Oryctolagus cuniculus: one gene and its partners. The protein of the gene in region 4 binds, or shares a complex with, the protein of the main gene of each other region. Links are inferred from orthologs where the notes say so. Each region holds a gene or a part of one and is shown on either strand. Other genes may lie near its edges.

What was found.
Region 1: the proteins of SNTG1 (region 4) and RPS6KA1 are in contact, whole or in part, in a crystal structure (PDB 7PC8), measured with the Homo sapiens proteins. The link is inferred for Oryctolagus cuniculus from reciprocal best matches to the Homo sapiens genes SNTG1 and RPS6KA1. Residues at the interface, in NP_001274742.1 of Homo sapiens: Gly67, Phe68, Gly69, Leu70, Ser71, Ile72, Lys73, Gly74, His78, Ile80, Ser85, His118, Glu119, Val122, Leu125, Arg126, Arg141; in NP_002944.2 of Homo sapiens: Arg728, Lys729, Leu730, Pro731, Thr733, Thr734, Leu735.
Region 2: the proteins of SNTG1 (region 4) and TRPV3 are in contact, whole or in part, in a crystal structure (PDB 7QQN), measured with the Homo sapiens proteins. The link is inferred for Oryctolagus cuniculus from reciprocal best matches to the Homo sapiens genes SNTG1 and TRPV3. Residues at the interface, in NP_001274742.1 of Homo sapiens: Arg62, Gly66, Gly67, Phe68, Gly69, Leu70, Ser71, Ile72, Lys73, Gly74, His78, Ser85, Lys86, His118, Glu119, Val122, Arg126; in NP_659505.1 of Homo sapiens: Pro786, Glu787, Thr788, Ser789, Val790.
Region 3: the proteins of SNTG1 (region 4) and PTEN are in contact, whole or in part, in a crystal structure (PDB 7PC7), measured with the Homo sapiens proteins. The link is inferred for Oryctolagus cuniculus from reciprocal best matches to the Homo sapiens genes SNTG1 and PTEN. Residues at the interface, in NP_001274742.1 of Homo sapiens: Gly67, Phe68, Gly69, Leu70, Ser71, Ile72, Lys73, Gly74, Glu77, His78, Ser85, Lys86, Ile87, Ser88, His118, Val122, Leu125, Arg126; in NP_000305.3 of Homo sapiens: Asp395, Gln396, His397, Thr398, Gln399, Ile400, Thr401, Lys402, Val403.

Annotation. Positions count from the first base shown.
Region 1 is NC_091438.1:144,950,236-144,953,797, forward strand, and holds part of RPS6KA1 (ribosomal protein S6 kinase alpha-1), read right to left. Parts: intron 1,792-3,562; coding exon 1,711-1,791; intron 1,577-1,710; coding exon 1,497-1,576; intron 198-1,496; coding exon 91-197; intron 1-90. UniProt on the Homo sapiens protein: Serine/threonine-protein kinase that acts downstream of ERK (MAPK1/ERK2 and MAPK3/ERK1) signaling and mediates mitogenic and stress-induced activation of the transcription factors CREB1, ETV1/ER81 and NR4A1/NUR77, regulates translation through RPS6 and EIF4B phosphorylation, and mediates cellular proliferation, survival, and differentiation by modulating mTOR signaling and repressing pro-apoptotic function of BAD and DAPK1.
Region 2 is NC_091448.1:48,868,398-48,871,959, forward strand, and holds part of TRPV3 (transient receptor potential cation channel subfamily V member 3), read right to left. Parts: intron 2,172-3,562; coding exon 2,059-2,171; intron 405-2,058; coding exon 325-404; intron 86-324; coding exon 1-85. UniProt on the Homo sapiens protein: Non-selective calcium permeant cation channel. It is activated by innocuous (warm) temperatures and shows an increased response at noxious temperatures greater than 39 degrees Celsius. Activation exhibits an outward rectification.
Region 3 is NC_091446.1:42,814,245-42,818,426, forward strand, and holds the start of PTEN (phosphatidylinositol 3,4,5-trisphosphate 3-phosphatase and dual-specificity protein phosphatase PTEN), read right to left. Parts: upstream 2,856-4,182; 5' UTR 2,855-2,855; coding exon of another isoform or gene 2,828-2,854; 5' UTR 2,311-2,827; coding exon 2,243-2,310; intron 1,784-2,242; exon of another isoform or gene 874-1,783; coding exon 779-873; intron 616-778; exon of another isoform or gene 1-615. UniProt on the Homo sapiens protein: Dual-specificity protein phosphatase, dephosphorylating tyrosine-, serine- and threonine-phosphorylated proteins.
Region 4 is NC_091437.1:74,879,200-74,882,761, reverse strand, and holds part of SNTG1 (gamma-1-syntrophin), read right to left. Parts: intron 3,477-3,562; coding exon 3,374-3,476; intron 1-3,373. UniProt on the Homo sapiens protein: Adapter protein that binds to and probably organizes the subcellular localization of a variety of proteins. May link various receptors to the actin cytoskeleton and the dystrophin glycoprotein complex.

The DNA of each region.
Region 1 (3,562 bases), on a different chromosome or scaffold from region 4:
CCCATGGAGGTGACCCTGTTCTAGAAGAGGCCCCAGCCCTTGTCTGTGCACCCCCGAGGGAGGCCAGGGTGGGGCTGGGGGGTCACTCACTTCTCAGGCTTGAGGTCTCTGTAAATGATGCCCAGGCTATGCAGGTGGTCCAGACCCAACGCCAGCTCGGCCAGGTAAAACTTCACGTCCTCCTCTGTGAACATGACCTGCAAGAGGCGCGAGGGGCTTCAGTGGGCCCTGGGCAGGCAGCAGCTTCCTTGTCCCTAGGGTCTAGCCTCCTCGGCCCTCCGTATCATCACGGGGTTTGAAGTATGAAATGATGGCTGCCCAGGGTGGTGGTCTTTGTCGGGAAACAGCCCAGGGGTCCCAGGGCCGAAGCCTGGGAGGAACTGTGTTGTTGGCCCCTGCAGAAGGACTGGTGCACAGCTATGAACTAGGACAGGAGCTTCCCACAGCCTGGAAGGAACGCAGCGAGGCAGGGGGCATGGTATCCAGAGCGGCGGCGATTCAGAACACACCTGGGATTTGTTTGCAGAAGAAACATGGGAAGGTTCAACAAGAAACCAATAAAAATGTTTACTGATAGGGGATACAGGGCACTGGGGTAGGAGGAAGCCTTCCCCATAAATATTTTTCTTTTGAATCATGTAAATGTTTTACCTATGCAAACACCGCAATAAGGTTTAAACCAACCCCCCCCCCCCCACCCTTGTTTTAAAGCTTGGTTCTCTTTAAAGTTGGAATTGTGTTAATGACCGTATTTTTCGTATCTGGCTCAAAATCCTTTTATATCAGTTCAAAATCTTTTGGCTAACAGGTGGGACAAGAGTGTGCGAGTCTCCCGCTTTCTCGGTGCATCTGGGCTTCTTTTTTTTTTTTTTTTTTTGACAGGCAGAGTGGACAGTTAGAGAGAGAGAGAGACAGAGAGAAAGGTCTTCCTTTGCCGTTGGTTCACCCTCCAATGGCCGCCGCGGCCGGCGCGCTGCGGCCGGCGCACCACGCTGATCCGATGGCAGGAGCCAGGAGCCAGGTGCTTTTCCTGGTCTCCCATGGGGTGCAGGGCCCAAGCACCTGGGCCATCCTCCACTGCACTCCCGGGCCACAGCAGAGAGCTGGCCTGGAAGAGGGGCAACCAGGACAGAATCCGGCGCCCCAACCGGGACTAGAATCCCGTGTGCCGGCGCCGCTAGGCGGAGGATTAGCCTAGTGAGCCGCGGCGCCGGCCACATCTGGGCTTCTCCTGGCTGCTCCCAGCTCTGCCCAGGGCAGCCTGGAAGAAGAAAGACACACAGGGGAGAGGCACCCTGAGCTCCCCCCAGTCGGTGAACATCAGACCCAGGGCCTAGCCCTCCTCCATCCACTGGGGAGGAACTCTCGGAGGCGCTGCCAGGCCGGACAAGGCCTGGATCAGGTTCACCTGGGGAGGCCTAGGTGGCTCCACACCCAGGCCGTACGGGACCCAGGAGTGGGAGGCCTTGTGGTCCGTCAGTGGGTTATCTGCTCACCTCTTTTGAGAGCCGTGTGAAGAGGTCCCCACCGCGCAGGAAGTCCAGAATGAGATAGAGCTTGCCCTCTGTCTGGAAGGCTGGGGAGAGGGGCAAGAGTCACCGGCCGTGTGACCTGCCCCTCAGCCTGCAGGTGGGAGCTTGGACAGTGTAGACCACCGGCCAGGGTGAGCGCGGGCTGGTGCGGGAGTTCGGGGAAGGGCTGCAGTCTCACCATAGTGCAGCTTCACCACAAAGGGGTGGTTCACGTCGGCCAGGATGTCCCTCTCCATCTTGGTCCGGACGCGGTCGCGCACTGGCCAGAGGAGAGGCAGTCACCCGGTGCCGGACACACGGCACACCCACTCACTCCCCAGGGCCACCCGAGGGCTCTCACTAGACCCGAGCTCCTGGGGCTCTGTGCCCCAGGCTTTGGGGACGCTGACTTCACACTGCCTCCTCCGTTCCGGGTCTGGTCCCGGCTTCCAGGCCTGCTCTCAGCCCCCAGCCCTCGGCAGTGCCCATCTGTCTAGCCCTGCGCTCCAGCACGCCTCCGGCCAGGCTGAACAACCCGTGTCCCTCTGCACCACGCTGTCAGAGCCCCACATCTTCCCTGGCACCTCGACCAGCCCCTGTCCTCTAGCAGACAAAGCCCAGATTCTAGAAGCGGCTGGCGCGGATGCTCACCCGGGAAGCTGACTAGGGAGACAGATTCCCTGGGCCCAAGACTCTGAGCCACAGGTCTGGGTGGGCTTCCCCACATATTTTTTTATTTTATTATTTTTTAAAATATTTATTTATTTATTTGAAAAGCAGAGGCAGAGAGAAAGAGAGAGAGGGAGGGGTCTTCTACCCACAGGTTCGCTCCCCAAATGGCTGCAATGGCCAGAGCTCGGGCCCATCTGAAGCCAGGAGCTTCTTCGGAGTCTCTCATGTGGGTGCAGGGTCCCAGGCACTTGAACCACCTTTACTGCTTTCCCAGGCCATTAGCAGGGAGTTGGATCAGAAGTGGAGTAGCCGGGACTCGAACTGGTGCCCAAATGGGATGCCAGCATCATAGGTGGAGGCTTCACCCGCTACGCCGCAGCGCCAGCCCCTTTCTTATTTTTTTAAAGAATAGAAGTTGCAGGGCTGGCGCTGTGGCGTAGAGGGTGAAGCCACCGCCTGTGACACTGGCATCCCTGAGTGCCGCTGGTTCAAGTCCCATTTGTTCCACTTCTGATCCAGCTCCCTGCTAATGCACCTGGGAAAGCAGCAGAAGATGGAGATGGCCCAAGTCCTTGGGTCCTTGCACCCACATGGGGACCCAGAAGAAGCTCCTGGCTCTGGCTTCAGCCAGGCCCAGCCCTGGGCCGTTGCGGCCATTTGGGAAGTGAACCAGCAGATAGAAGATCTCCCTCTCTCCTTCTCTCCCTGTAACTCTGCCTTTCAAATTTAAAAAAAAAAAAAAAAAATATTTAAATATTGGGGCCGGCACTGTGGTGCAGCAGGTTAAAGCCCCAGCCTGCAGCACTGGCATCTCATATGGGAGCCGGTTCAAGTCCCGGCTGCTTCACTTCCAATCCAGCTCTCTGCTATGGCCTGGGAAAGCAGCAGAAGATGGCCCAAACCCTTGGGCCCTTGCACCCATGTGGGAGACCTGGATGAAGCTCCTAGCTCCTGGCTTCAGATTGGCTCAGCTCTGGCCATTGCAGGCATTTGGGGAGTGAACTAGTGGACGGAAGACCTGTGTGTGTGTGTGTGTGTGTGTGTGTGTGTGTCTTTACCTCTCTCTGTAACTTTCAAATAAATAAACCTTTACCAAAAATATCTTGATTCAGACATCAGCTGGTCTTCCTGCCCTCAGTCAGGTCTCACCTCCCCCTTAGCCTCCCAAGCTGGACGAGGGCCTTCCAGCTACTTCTGACCAGGACTAATGTCACTTCAGGCTAACTTCAGACTAAGAGTGCTGGACTTCCTCTTCAAAGCACTGGCTTTTGTTCATTTGCATTAGTTAAGAGAGAGAAAGAGAGAGCATGAGAGAGTGAGAGAGTGAGAGACAGAGAGAGAGAGGGACTGCACTCTCATCTGCTGGTTCACTCCCCAGT
Region 2 (3,562 bases), on a different chromosome or scaffold from region 4:
TCCGGGAATTCTTCCATTTCTTCAAATGCATTGAGGGTGGTTTTGCTGTTGCTCCTGGACGAATCTTGAATCTTGTTTAAGTCTGCTTTAAAAATAATAATAAAACTGTTTTTAGAAACATATCATTCTGTGTGCCATGTCTGATGTCTTGGGGGCAACACCTGCTTTTTTAGAAGTTGTTCCAACTGAAGTTATAAAGCATCCAAGCTGGAAGAGACCCTTGTTTCACAGATGGAGAAAAGTCGTGGTCCTCAAACTTGATTGGCCCCAAGGTCACACAGTCAGACAGGACCAGATCCCACAGTGCCTTGCAGCAACAGTTACCTGTCCGTTTTATGGGTCCCGGGTCTTCTTTCAGGAAGGAGACGTGTGTTTTCCATTCGGTCCACTTCACCTCATTGATCCTGCAAGTATAACCATTATTTTTGCTATGTGGCAACCACATCTCATCAAACACAAACAAGTGGAGGAGCATTTGGAATATCCTCATCTCTAAACAGCTCTCTTTCTGTCCATCCTGGGGACCAGGACCCCTGCATGCTCCCCATGGACACAGCAGCGCTGTTAGTGTTTGAAACCTGCCTGGAGCCCCATTTTCCCAGGCCTCAAGGATCCATTCTCCTACCAGGGTGCAGGACCCAAGAATCCTATAAGGTGCTAAGACAAAGGGTGCATCTTCCGACATCACAGCTGTGCCTGATTGGTGAGAGGGTGTCGGCCTGGAGGGAGGGAAAGCTAAGAAAGTGTGAGGGTTGAAAGTGTGGAAGTTTAGCTAGGGTTAGAGACACTTTAAGAGAAGGTGGTTAGGGTTCATGTCGTAATGGGAGTGGGCAGTGCCTGAGGTGTTGAGTGACAGCTGGAGTGGGTCTGACCTCAGCTCACATTCAGAGAACATCTCTGGAGTGATGTTCCCTCAAAATCAGAAATATCTGTTAATGCAAAGATGATGGTCAGCAACGGTGGCTTCCAAGAGGGAGAACTTCAATTAGAGAAGTAATTTATTGCTTAAGTTTCATTTATTTATTTATTTGAAAGGCAAAACAACAGGGTGAGGCAGAAGGAGAGAAAGATCTTCTATCCACTGATCCATTTGGAAATGGTTGTAACAACCAGGTCAGGGCCAGACTGAAGCCAGGAGCCAGGAACTCTATCCTGGTCTCCCACATGGTTGCAGGGGCCCAAGCACTTGGGCCATCTTCCACTTCCCTCCCAGGCACATTAACAAGGAGCTGGATTAGAAATGGAGCAGCCAGGGCTTAAAACTGCATCCCATGTTGGATGCCAGCATTCCAAGGGGCAGTCTAACCTGCCACAATGCCAGCATGCTGGCCTCAGAGAAGTAATTTAAGGAAGTACAGTTATATGCAAAAATGGAAGTCTGTAGGGTCAGGCAGTTAGGAAAGGGTGAGAACAGACAGACTTATCAGAAAAGGTGGGCTCATCATGGGATTTGGGGGGACTTTACAAAAATCCAAAAAGTGTGGATTTGTCCATAGAAGATGTCCTGGGCTCCTCGCTTCATCCTGGCCCAGCCCCAGCCATTGAGGCCATCTGGGGAGTGAAAAAGTAGATGGAAGACCTCTCTCTCCCTCCCTCCCTCTCTTCTCCCCCTCCCCCACCATCACTCTGCCTTTGAAATAAAGAAAATAAATCTTTAAAAAAGAAAAGTGACTATCTCACTTCTACTTGCCAATACTAAAGTAGTGCCCCATTCCCTCTGCTGTCACATGAACCCATGGAGGGTGGACAAAAGAACAAAGGTCAGGCTGGTAAATCTTTTCTAAGCCCAACCCTGGCCAGGGAGAGGCTGTTAAGGCACCTTCAAAGGGACAGGGGGTGAAAGCAGAGCGGGCAGTCCCCTCCCTCTTTCTGAAGCTCACCCTGAGCTCACGATGCCACAAGAGTTGAGTCCGTCCTCTGAGAAGGCCCAAGAGACAACGGCCTTGGTTACAGCAATCGAGGGGCAGCACCATTTCCCTGATATTTTGGTCACACTGGTTCATCCACCTCCATCCACCCCCAAAAAGCCCCCACGGAAGGGCCCTCTCCCTCAGTTACCGCAAACACAGTCGGAAGTCTTCCTCGGCCACTTTACACAGCTCCCCCATGCGGAATCTGCTTCTCAGCCATTCCGGCAACATCTTCTCAAACTCCAAGATCGTCCTGGCTCTCTGGGGACATAAGCAAGCCTCAGCAGGTTGCTCGGAGCCAGCCCCGGGAGCGCAGCTCCATGGCTGCTGCATGCACATGCAAACAGGTACACACACACGGCATCCCCGCTACATGCTCAGTGCCTAGATCCTGAGGACTCCACTAATCCCAAGGATGCAAAGATGAAAAAGCAGAACACTTGGGAAAGACAATCAAAGAGCTTGGAGCACCATGTGATATCTCTGGAAGTTCAGGCCTCTCCTAACTGAAGACGTCCACATCCTGGAATCCCAACACAGAGGAAAGCTGAGACATGATGGAGTCCCACTGCCCTCCCAGTCTGGGAAGCCACTGGCAATCTTCCTGGGAAAAACTTATCCAATCTCTCCCGAGCATTATCCACAATCTAATTTAGCTGTCTTCATAAGTAGACACTTTTTTTTTTTTTTTTGACAGGCAGAGTGGACAGTGAGAGAGAGACAGAGAGAAAGGTCTTTCTTTTTTCCATTGGTTCACCCCACAATGGCCGCTGCGGCCAGCACACTGCACTGATCCGAAGCCAGGAGCCAGGTGCTTCTCCTGGTCTCCCATGCGGGTGCAGGGCCCAAGCACTTGGGCCATCCTCCACTGCACTCCCAGGCCACAGCAGAGAGTTGGACTGGAAGAGGGGCAACCAGGACAGAATCCGGCGCCCCAACCGGGACTAGAACCCGGTGTGCTGGCACTGCAGGCAGAGGATTAGCCTATTGAGCCACGGCGCCGGCCCATAAGTAGACACTTTTTTTGTGTCAATCAAAACTTTTCTCAGGGCCAGTGTCGTGGCTCAGTGGGTTAAGCTGCCACCTGCAACCCCAGCATCCCATATGAGCACTGGTTCAAATCCAGGCTGCTCCACTTCTGATCCAGCTTCCTGCGAATGCACCTGGGGAAGCAGCAGCAGCTAGCCCAGGTGTTTGTGCCCCTGCCAGCCACATGGGAGACCTGGAGGGAGTTCCAGGCTTCTGGCTTTGGCCTGGGCCAGCTCCGGCTGTTGTGGCCATTTGGGGAATGAACCAGTGGACAGAAGATTCTGTGTGTGTGTGTGTGTGTGTCTGTCTGTCTGTCTGTATACCCCTGCCTTTCAAAAAAATATTTTTTTAAAAAAAGTTTCTCTCCCTGCAGTTCTGCTGTGTATCTTGGTTCTGCCGTGTACCTTGGTTCTGCCTTCTGGGGCCCCTGAGGAGAGATATTCCCTCTCTCACAGGCAGCTCAGTAAACATTTACAGAAACTCTCACCTTCTCCCACCCCAGTTTCCAGCAACCTCCAAGGCAGTAGCCAGTCCACTCAAATCTGGTCACTGCCTCTGGCCCCATCCTGTGGGTTGGCATCCCTGGTGTGTGAGGAGTAGAACGGCACCATCACCTCCACTAA
Region 3 (4,182 bases), on a different chromosome or scaffold from region 4:
AACGCTACTGGAAATGCAAATTTTACTCCGGATTCTACATCACCCACTAGGAGAGAAAACGGCTAACTGAACAAAGATTTAGTGAATCGAACCTTATAAGGTGCACTGTGGCACTACTGATTTCAAACTACAAAACTTCTAAGTGCAGTTGCAAGCTGTAATTAACTTCATTTACACATACAAACCTACTTTTGCCCTCCCCACACACACCACATATACTGAAAATGGTTTTGCTTCTAAACTTACACCAATCAGTCCACAATTCACATTTTTAAAAGAATCTACCAATGCAACCCTAGAAACTAAAAACAAATCACTGCGCGATTCTGATGCAATATGCGGACGCGGAACACTAATTTTCATTTTAATCTGATCTATACCCTTGATCTAGGGCCTAACAAGATTGAATCGAAATATGCTCAATCTCCAAGCGTCTACTTTTTCGTTCACCTACAAGACCGGATTATCGAGCCCACTAATCCATCAACAGTGTACAGTATTCGGCATTAACGGACAATGGCCCTTAGGAAGAGACCACATACATGCACTACGAAACCAATCAGTGCCTTGACACTTGCAACCAGGCACGAGTTCCGTCTAGCTGAACACACCCTGGGCGGAATACACCCGAAAAGAGACACAAAAATCCATGCTCTGGAAATCTGACCAGGGCTCAACGCTACAGCTACCCCAAACTACGGAACATTTTCGCACTCGTCTACTCCCACGTTATGCGAGTGACAGAAAGGCAGAGAGCTGCCGCTGCAGAAATGGATACAGGTCAAGTCTAAGTCGAATCCATCCTCTTGATATCTCCTTTTGTTTCTGCTAACGATCTCTTTGATGATGGCTGTCATGTCTGGGAGCCTGTGGCTGAAGAAAAAGGAGGAGAGAGATGGCAGAAGCTGCTGGTGGCGGGGCTTCTTCTGTAGAATGGAAATGGCTCTGGACTTGGCGGTAGCTGATGCCCCTCGCTCTGCTGCCGCTTGGCTCTGGACCGCAGCCGGGTAATGGCTGCTGCGGCGGCTGCTGGATGGTTGCAGCGACTGGGCCTGCTTCTCCTCAGCAGCCAGAGGCCTGGCAGCGGCGGCAGCGGAATGGGGAGAAGACGAATAATCCTCGGAACGGCTGCCTCCTCCGGCGGCCTCCGGAGCCCGGGCCAGGGAGAGTGCGGCGGCGGCGGAGGGAAGGTTTAAAACCGGCCCGGGTCCCTGGATGTGCCGCCGCCGCCGCCGCCGTGTTGGAGGCAGTAGAAGGGGAGAGACCAACTCTCCGGCGTTCCCAGCCCTGGAAATGGTGACAGGCGGCTCCGAACCCCTCCCGGGAGCTGCAGCCGCCGCGGCCGCCGCCGCCGCCGCCGCTTCTCCCCCCCGCTCCAGGAGCGGGAGGTGCCGCCGCCGCCGCCGCCGCCGCCGCGCCTCAGCCGGCTCCCGCCTGAGCCCACGGCTTCCACCTTCCCTCGCAAGAAAAGCCGAGGAAGAGGCTGCACGGTTAGAAGAGAAGACGAAGAGGAGGCGAGAAACGCCGCCGCTGCCGCCGCCGCAGGCCGGCCGGCTCCCGGAGGGCGCTGCCCCCGCGGCTGCTCACAGGCGCTGAGAGGGGCTCTGGGCCGCGGCCGCCGCCGTCTCTCATCTCCCTCGCCTGAGCCGGGCCTAGCCTCACAGCGGCTCAACTCTCAAACTTCCATCATGGCTGCAGCTTCCGAGAGGAGAGAACTGAGCGCAGCCGCGTCCCAGCGCCCGGGCGCGTATCCTGCCGCAGTGCACAAAGAGTCCCGCCACATCACCGTCGCCGGCCTGCCCGCCCCCTCCGCCGCCGCCGCCGCGCCGGGAGCCGGGCCGCCTCGGGAGCCCGAGGGGAGGCGGGGGGCGAGCTGGAGGCGGACGGGACCGCGCCGGGGGAGGGGAGGGCTGGGCCGCGCCGGGGTGGGGTGGGGGGCGGGGGCGGCAGCTCCAGGTGCGAGCGCAGGGCCCCCAACCTGCTGGTGCTATTGAGCATGCCCAGTGTGACTGCCTGGGGCTCGCTCGGGCTTGTTCCGAGGCGCCCGCCCGTAGCTGCACTTGCCGCGGCTGCTCCTGCAGCAGCTCGGGGCGGGGGAACGAGCTCAGCCTCGGCCTCTGCCCGGACACCCGGCCGGAGCCAGGGCAGACTGCGGCGGGGCGGCGTGGGGGCGGAGGAAGGTGGATGATGAAAACTGAGACTGGTGCGTTGAGCGGTGTCGCCGACTGCAGTGTGAGGTTACCTGTGCACAGGTGGACCGCGCGGGTCAGTATCTAGGGAAATGCCGCGAGGACACCCCTCCCCCGCCATGGCGTGCGAACGCACGCACTCCGTTTGTCCCGCTGTGGACGATCGCGGCGGTTCGCAGGGATCTCACTGTCGCAGCCTCTGCCTAGAGCGCCCGCGCCGCCGCCGCCGCCGCCGCCCCCGGGTCCTCAAGGTGTCAGCCTCAGCACAAAGAACGACCCCCTATTGTGTCTCCGGCGGCGCGTCTCGCCTCATCCGGCTCCAGTCACCGCCCCACCTCTCGCTGCCCCAGCTACTCGGTTCATTTGCCCGAAAAGCGAAAGCTCTCAGCCGGGCGCGCTAGAGTGCACACGTCGCCCCCCGCCCCGAATTCCCAGGGCCCGAGGGCCTCCTGCCTAGGCCGCCTTAAAGAGGATCCCCGTGAGCGGGACGCACCCCCACAGCTCCCTCCGCGGCCCCCGGAGAGCTGAGCATCTGTCCCCTCAGGCTCCGGGTCCGTTCGCGGCGTCGAACTCGAGCTCGGTCCTCAGAGGCTGCCTCGCCCCGCCCACTCTCCGGGCCGCTGAGAAAACCTGGCACGATGAATCGCCCGCGGCCAGCTTCCGCGCTCGCCGGGCCGGCCGGTGCACGCTGGAGGCCCAGGTTGCCGGCCCGGGCGCGGCGTTCAGGACGGTAGGAAGCGGCAGCCCCGCGAGTGGGCGGGGCGAGGAGCCCTAGGAGGGTTCAAAAGGGGGTGGAAGGATACCCGAGCCACCGTCGGAACTACTTTCAGGAAGGGGTCACGTGTGCTCCGAGTTGGGGAACTTTCCAAATTCCCACTCCTCCAAGCGTAGCTCCGGAGGCAAGTGCTTCGCCAGCTACGCTCGGGGTGCTCCCGCCTGGCGCGGGCAGCACCCCCACACCCTCCCAGGCTGCAGAGGGACGGGGTTGGGGATGGCCAGTGGAGCCTCCACAGGATCGCTGTCTGGGCTAGCTGCTGGGCAGGCACCCCCATCCAAGCACGTGCCCCCGCTCCCGTGCACCGCTGCTCTCACCCTTCTGCTACCCACGGAGTGAGCTCTCTCTGCTGTGGATTGACAAGCACTGCTTGTTCTCAACCGTGGGAAAAGGGGCCGGGCCCGAGGGATCTGGCGCATCTCCCTCGTTGGTTGGGGTGAACCCTCTGGTTCCGTGCTGTCGGGGCCAAAGGCTCGTTCCCGCTGCGCCTGCTGCTTGGATTGCAGGTGTTGCAACAAACTTTTGAGTCGCTACCCCTGCACTGGTGAGCACGCCCCACCTACTGTAGACTCAGCCAAGTGCCTTATCTGGTCTAGTCCTTGGCCGTATGCCCAGAACAAACCTGTCAAGTCTTTCTGCAGCCCCGTGGTTGACCTATCCAGTGAGTGAGCTGGTTCACAAATGCTTAGACCTAGAGCGCCTCCTCAACCCCCTCCCCAAAATACGCACATCAGTCAGCTTCAAAATGAGAAGGGGCGTCAACCAACACCAACCTACGAATTTTTTTTTCTCTCTTTCATTTCCCCCCACTCTCCTCCCACCCCACCCGGCGCCCCGCTCCAGGAAAGTAGAATTCCAGGGGAAAATTTGAGTTCAGAAGTATCTGACTTAGACCAGGCTGAAGCCCTAGGTTGTTTTTTTCTTTTTCTCTTTTTTTCTTTTTTTTTTTTTTTTTTTTTTTTTGACATCTGAGAAAATGGGAATCAGTTGGCACATGTGTTGTGATAAATGGTGAGTAGATACCTAGAAAGGTCTAAAGCCGAGTTTTCTTGTGAGGAAGATTGTAAATGTGCACATCATCATTACAGGCAGCCCCTGAAGACTAGAAACCTCAGGAGGCCCAGCTCAGAGAGCCACAGGCCATTACCTAACTCCAGGACTGCTAATTAAACCGGGGATATTTAGGGACCTCTGAGGCTACATAAAACTGCATTTATA
Region 4 (3,562 bases):
ACCAAGAACAAAAATGTCTTCTCTTAATTTTATTCAACATTTCACTAGAGGTCCTAGCTATTGTAACTGGCAAGAAAAGGGGGTTAAAGAAGGATAGACAGGAAAAAAAATTAAAATTTCCTATTTATTAATCACATAATTGTATGTGGAAAATGTGAATGATACACAAAAATGTCATACTAGAATTAGTGAAAAATAAGGCATGTTATAGCATGTTTAAATATGAAAAATAATATGTATACATATTTATTATTAATAGACAACTGGACAGATATTTTACAATGGAATTTAAAAACATAAAATATACAGAAATAATGTTAAAGTTACAGAAGTCATTACCATTGAAAACACTAAAATATTACTGAGGAAAATAAAAATATAAATAAATAGATAGGTATTGACAAAATATATAGTTTTTGATGAGTAATTCTCCATATTACCTATAAATCCAGTTTAATCCTATTCAAAATCCAAGTAAGATTTTTATATAAATTGGCATGCTAGTTTTAAAATGCACACAATTAAAAAAACCTAAACAAAATGTATACAATAATGCAGGATCTAGAATAGCCAAACAATATTGAAAAGTTGCAAAGTTGAAGTATGTATTCTAGGAAACATTAAAATCTTACAGTACTTAAAGATTTGGCATTGATGAAAAATAAATTCATAAACTAACAGAAATAAGAAAGTGTCCAGAAGTGGAGCCAAGTATGGATGATCAAATTATAATAGGAGAAAAATAAATAAATAAAATGAGTTAGTAGTAATAAAGCAAAATGTTCAATGTAAAATGTGCAAATGAACTCATCTGACATTTCTTAAAAGAAAACATACAAATTGCCAATAAGTAGATGAAAAAGATTCTCAACATAATAATAAGGGGAATGTAAACCAAAATCCTCAATGAGATATCAACTCATCTTCCTATAGAAGCTATTATAAAAACAGACACAAGTGTTACCAAGAAAGTAGAGAAAGGAGAATTCTTATATACTATTAATCCAAATATCATTTGGAAAAGACATTATGGAGAACAGTACTTAAAAACTAAAAATAGGTCTACATGATCCAGCAATCCCAATCCTGGATGTACTTCCAAAGAAATCAAATCATTATGCTAAAGAGATACCTTCACTCCCACGGTCATTATGGATGAAAGGATACAGAAATGTGGTATATACACACAATGGGATATTGTTCATCCATTAAAAGAATGAAATTCTGTGACTTATGGTATAGTCGGGAGATCAATATTCTAAGTGTAATAAACCAGATACATGAAGTCAAATACTGCACATTCTCATTCACACATTAATACTAAAAAGTTAATGTCATAGCAGTAGAGAGTAGAATATTGGTTATGATATTCTGGAAAGGAGAGAGAAGGGTTGGTTAATGGGTATAAAAATATAATTGAGATAATTATGTTTAGGTGAATATTAATTTATCATCTATCAGCATAGGTGCAAGAGGAGACTTTGAATGTTACCAACACTATGAAAGGATAACAGCATGAGGTGATTGAAATGTTAATTACACTAATTTTATCATTTCACCTTGTATAAATGTACTGAATCTTCACACTGTAGCTCATGACTATTTATAATTATTATGTGTTAATAAAATAATTATTAGAGGTAGACATTCAGCCTGGTGGCTAAGCGACGTTCACACCAGTGTAACTAGGTTTGCGACTCAACTCCAGATCCTGACTCTAGCTTCCTGACAATGCAGAGCTGGGGGGAAGTGGTGATGGCTTAAGTGACTGATTCTTGCCCCCCATTTGGGAGACCTGGATTGAGTTCCTGGCTCCCTGTTTTAGTCCCCGGCTCAGCACTTGAGAGTATTTGACAAGTGAGCCAGTTGATGGGATCTCTCTTTGTGTCTGTCTCTTTTTCTGTCTCTCTGCCTCTCAAATAAGTAAGTAAAAATTTAATAATATTTTTAAGATTAATGAAATAAGAAGATAGCCTCTTATATAATACAAAAGGGATGGAAATTACGCCAAGGGGAGTAAGTTAGTCATAAAAAGACAAATACTGCATTATTCTACTTTTATGAAACATCATAAGTAGTCAAACTCTTGTAAACAGCCAATGGATGGAGTTTGCCTAGAGTATGAGAAGTGGAAATGGGGGAGTTTTTGGGTAAGGGGTGTCGAGCTTCAGTTTGTGCAGATGGAAGGGTTCTGGTGCAGGTGGTTCATGTTATTGTACAACACAGTCAAAAATTATTCTTACAGGAAATCTTACATTATGTGTTATTCACCACAATAAAAAAAAAACTCCATTTTAGCAATACATTCAGCAATGTATTAGCAACTGAATTATACGTCTATCTTGTCACTCCACTATTTAAGATAGTGAAATAAAATTATAAATAAAATTATAAACCTGCTGAAAGCCTCGTTTATTGCAGCTTTATTGACAAAGGCAAACTACTGGGGAGAGCTGTGGTGTCTACAAAGGAGCATGCATTAATAAATTTTACAAATTTCATACAACGACATGCTACATAGTCATAGAAGTGAGCAAATTGTTGATGTATATGATGAACCTATATCTGAAAAAGTTATTACTAATGAAATAAGGCAGAGATTTAAAAAGATAGGTACAGTATGATTCTATCAAACAGGGTTCTACAAGAGGTAATGCAGTAGACAATAGTTGCTTCAGCACTGTTATTTACTTAGAAGAGGCACAGAGAAACTCTTCTATGACGGAGAGACATGGGTTAAGCAAATGTGCACTTTAGCAGAACTATTCAATTCGTGCATCATCACATTTTATTGCCTATATTTTATGAATAATGAAACATTCTTCTTTTGGTTAGCTAAAATAGTAGATAATATGTTTCATTTCAGAACAAAAGAAGCAGGAAACAAAACAGATAGTGAACTTTTAAAGTAAGTCTTTTGTGAATTATTTGTTTCCACAAAGATCAATACTTCCTTCAATCTTCCTACTCTAGTCAGGACAACCTTTGTGTAAACTCTTGTTTAGCAAGCCTAGTAATTAGATCAATGTGGATTATTTTTCTAGTTACAGAAAATATATTCACAAAATACTTAAATTGAAATTTAACAGATATATAATGCAATCATACTTTTTTATATGATGCCCATTTTTAAAACAAATTACCTCTCCAGTTACAGAATGGAAGAAAATGTGATGAAAACACTCGGAAAGGAAAATAAGATTGATGCTTTTTGCATAAGGATTAAGAGTATTCTCTATGATATAAGAATATGTATATATTGAGGTAGGAATCCCAGCTTTAAAGAAAAATGGTCAATTATGACCAGAAAATAATGGCTTGGAAAGTAAATATGATGATGTGAATGCTGCACCCATTATTCAGAAATACTCACATGCACAATCTTCATTCAATGGGAGTTTGAGGAAAGCAGGTGCTCTTTTTAAAAATGACACTGTTAGGGTCACTTCTTCTCCCGCATTCCGCAGAACCTGAACCTAAAAATGAAAAATAAAACATTATCATTATGTTTATAAGTTTTCTTCACAGTTGCAAAACCTTGAAATAATAGATTGTCTTTTCC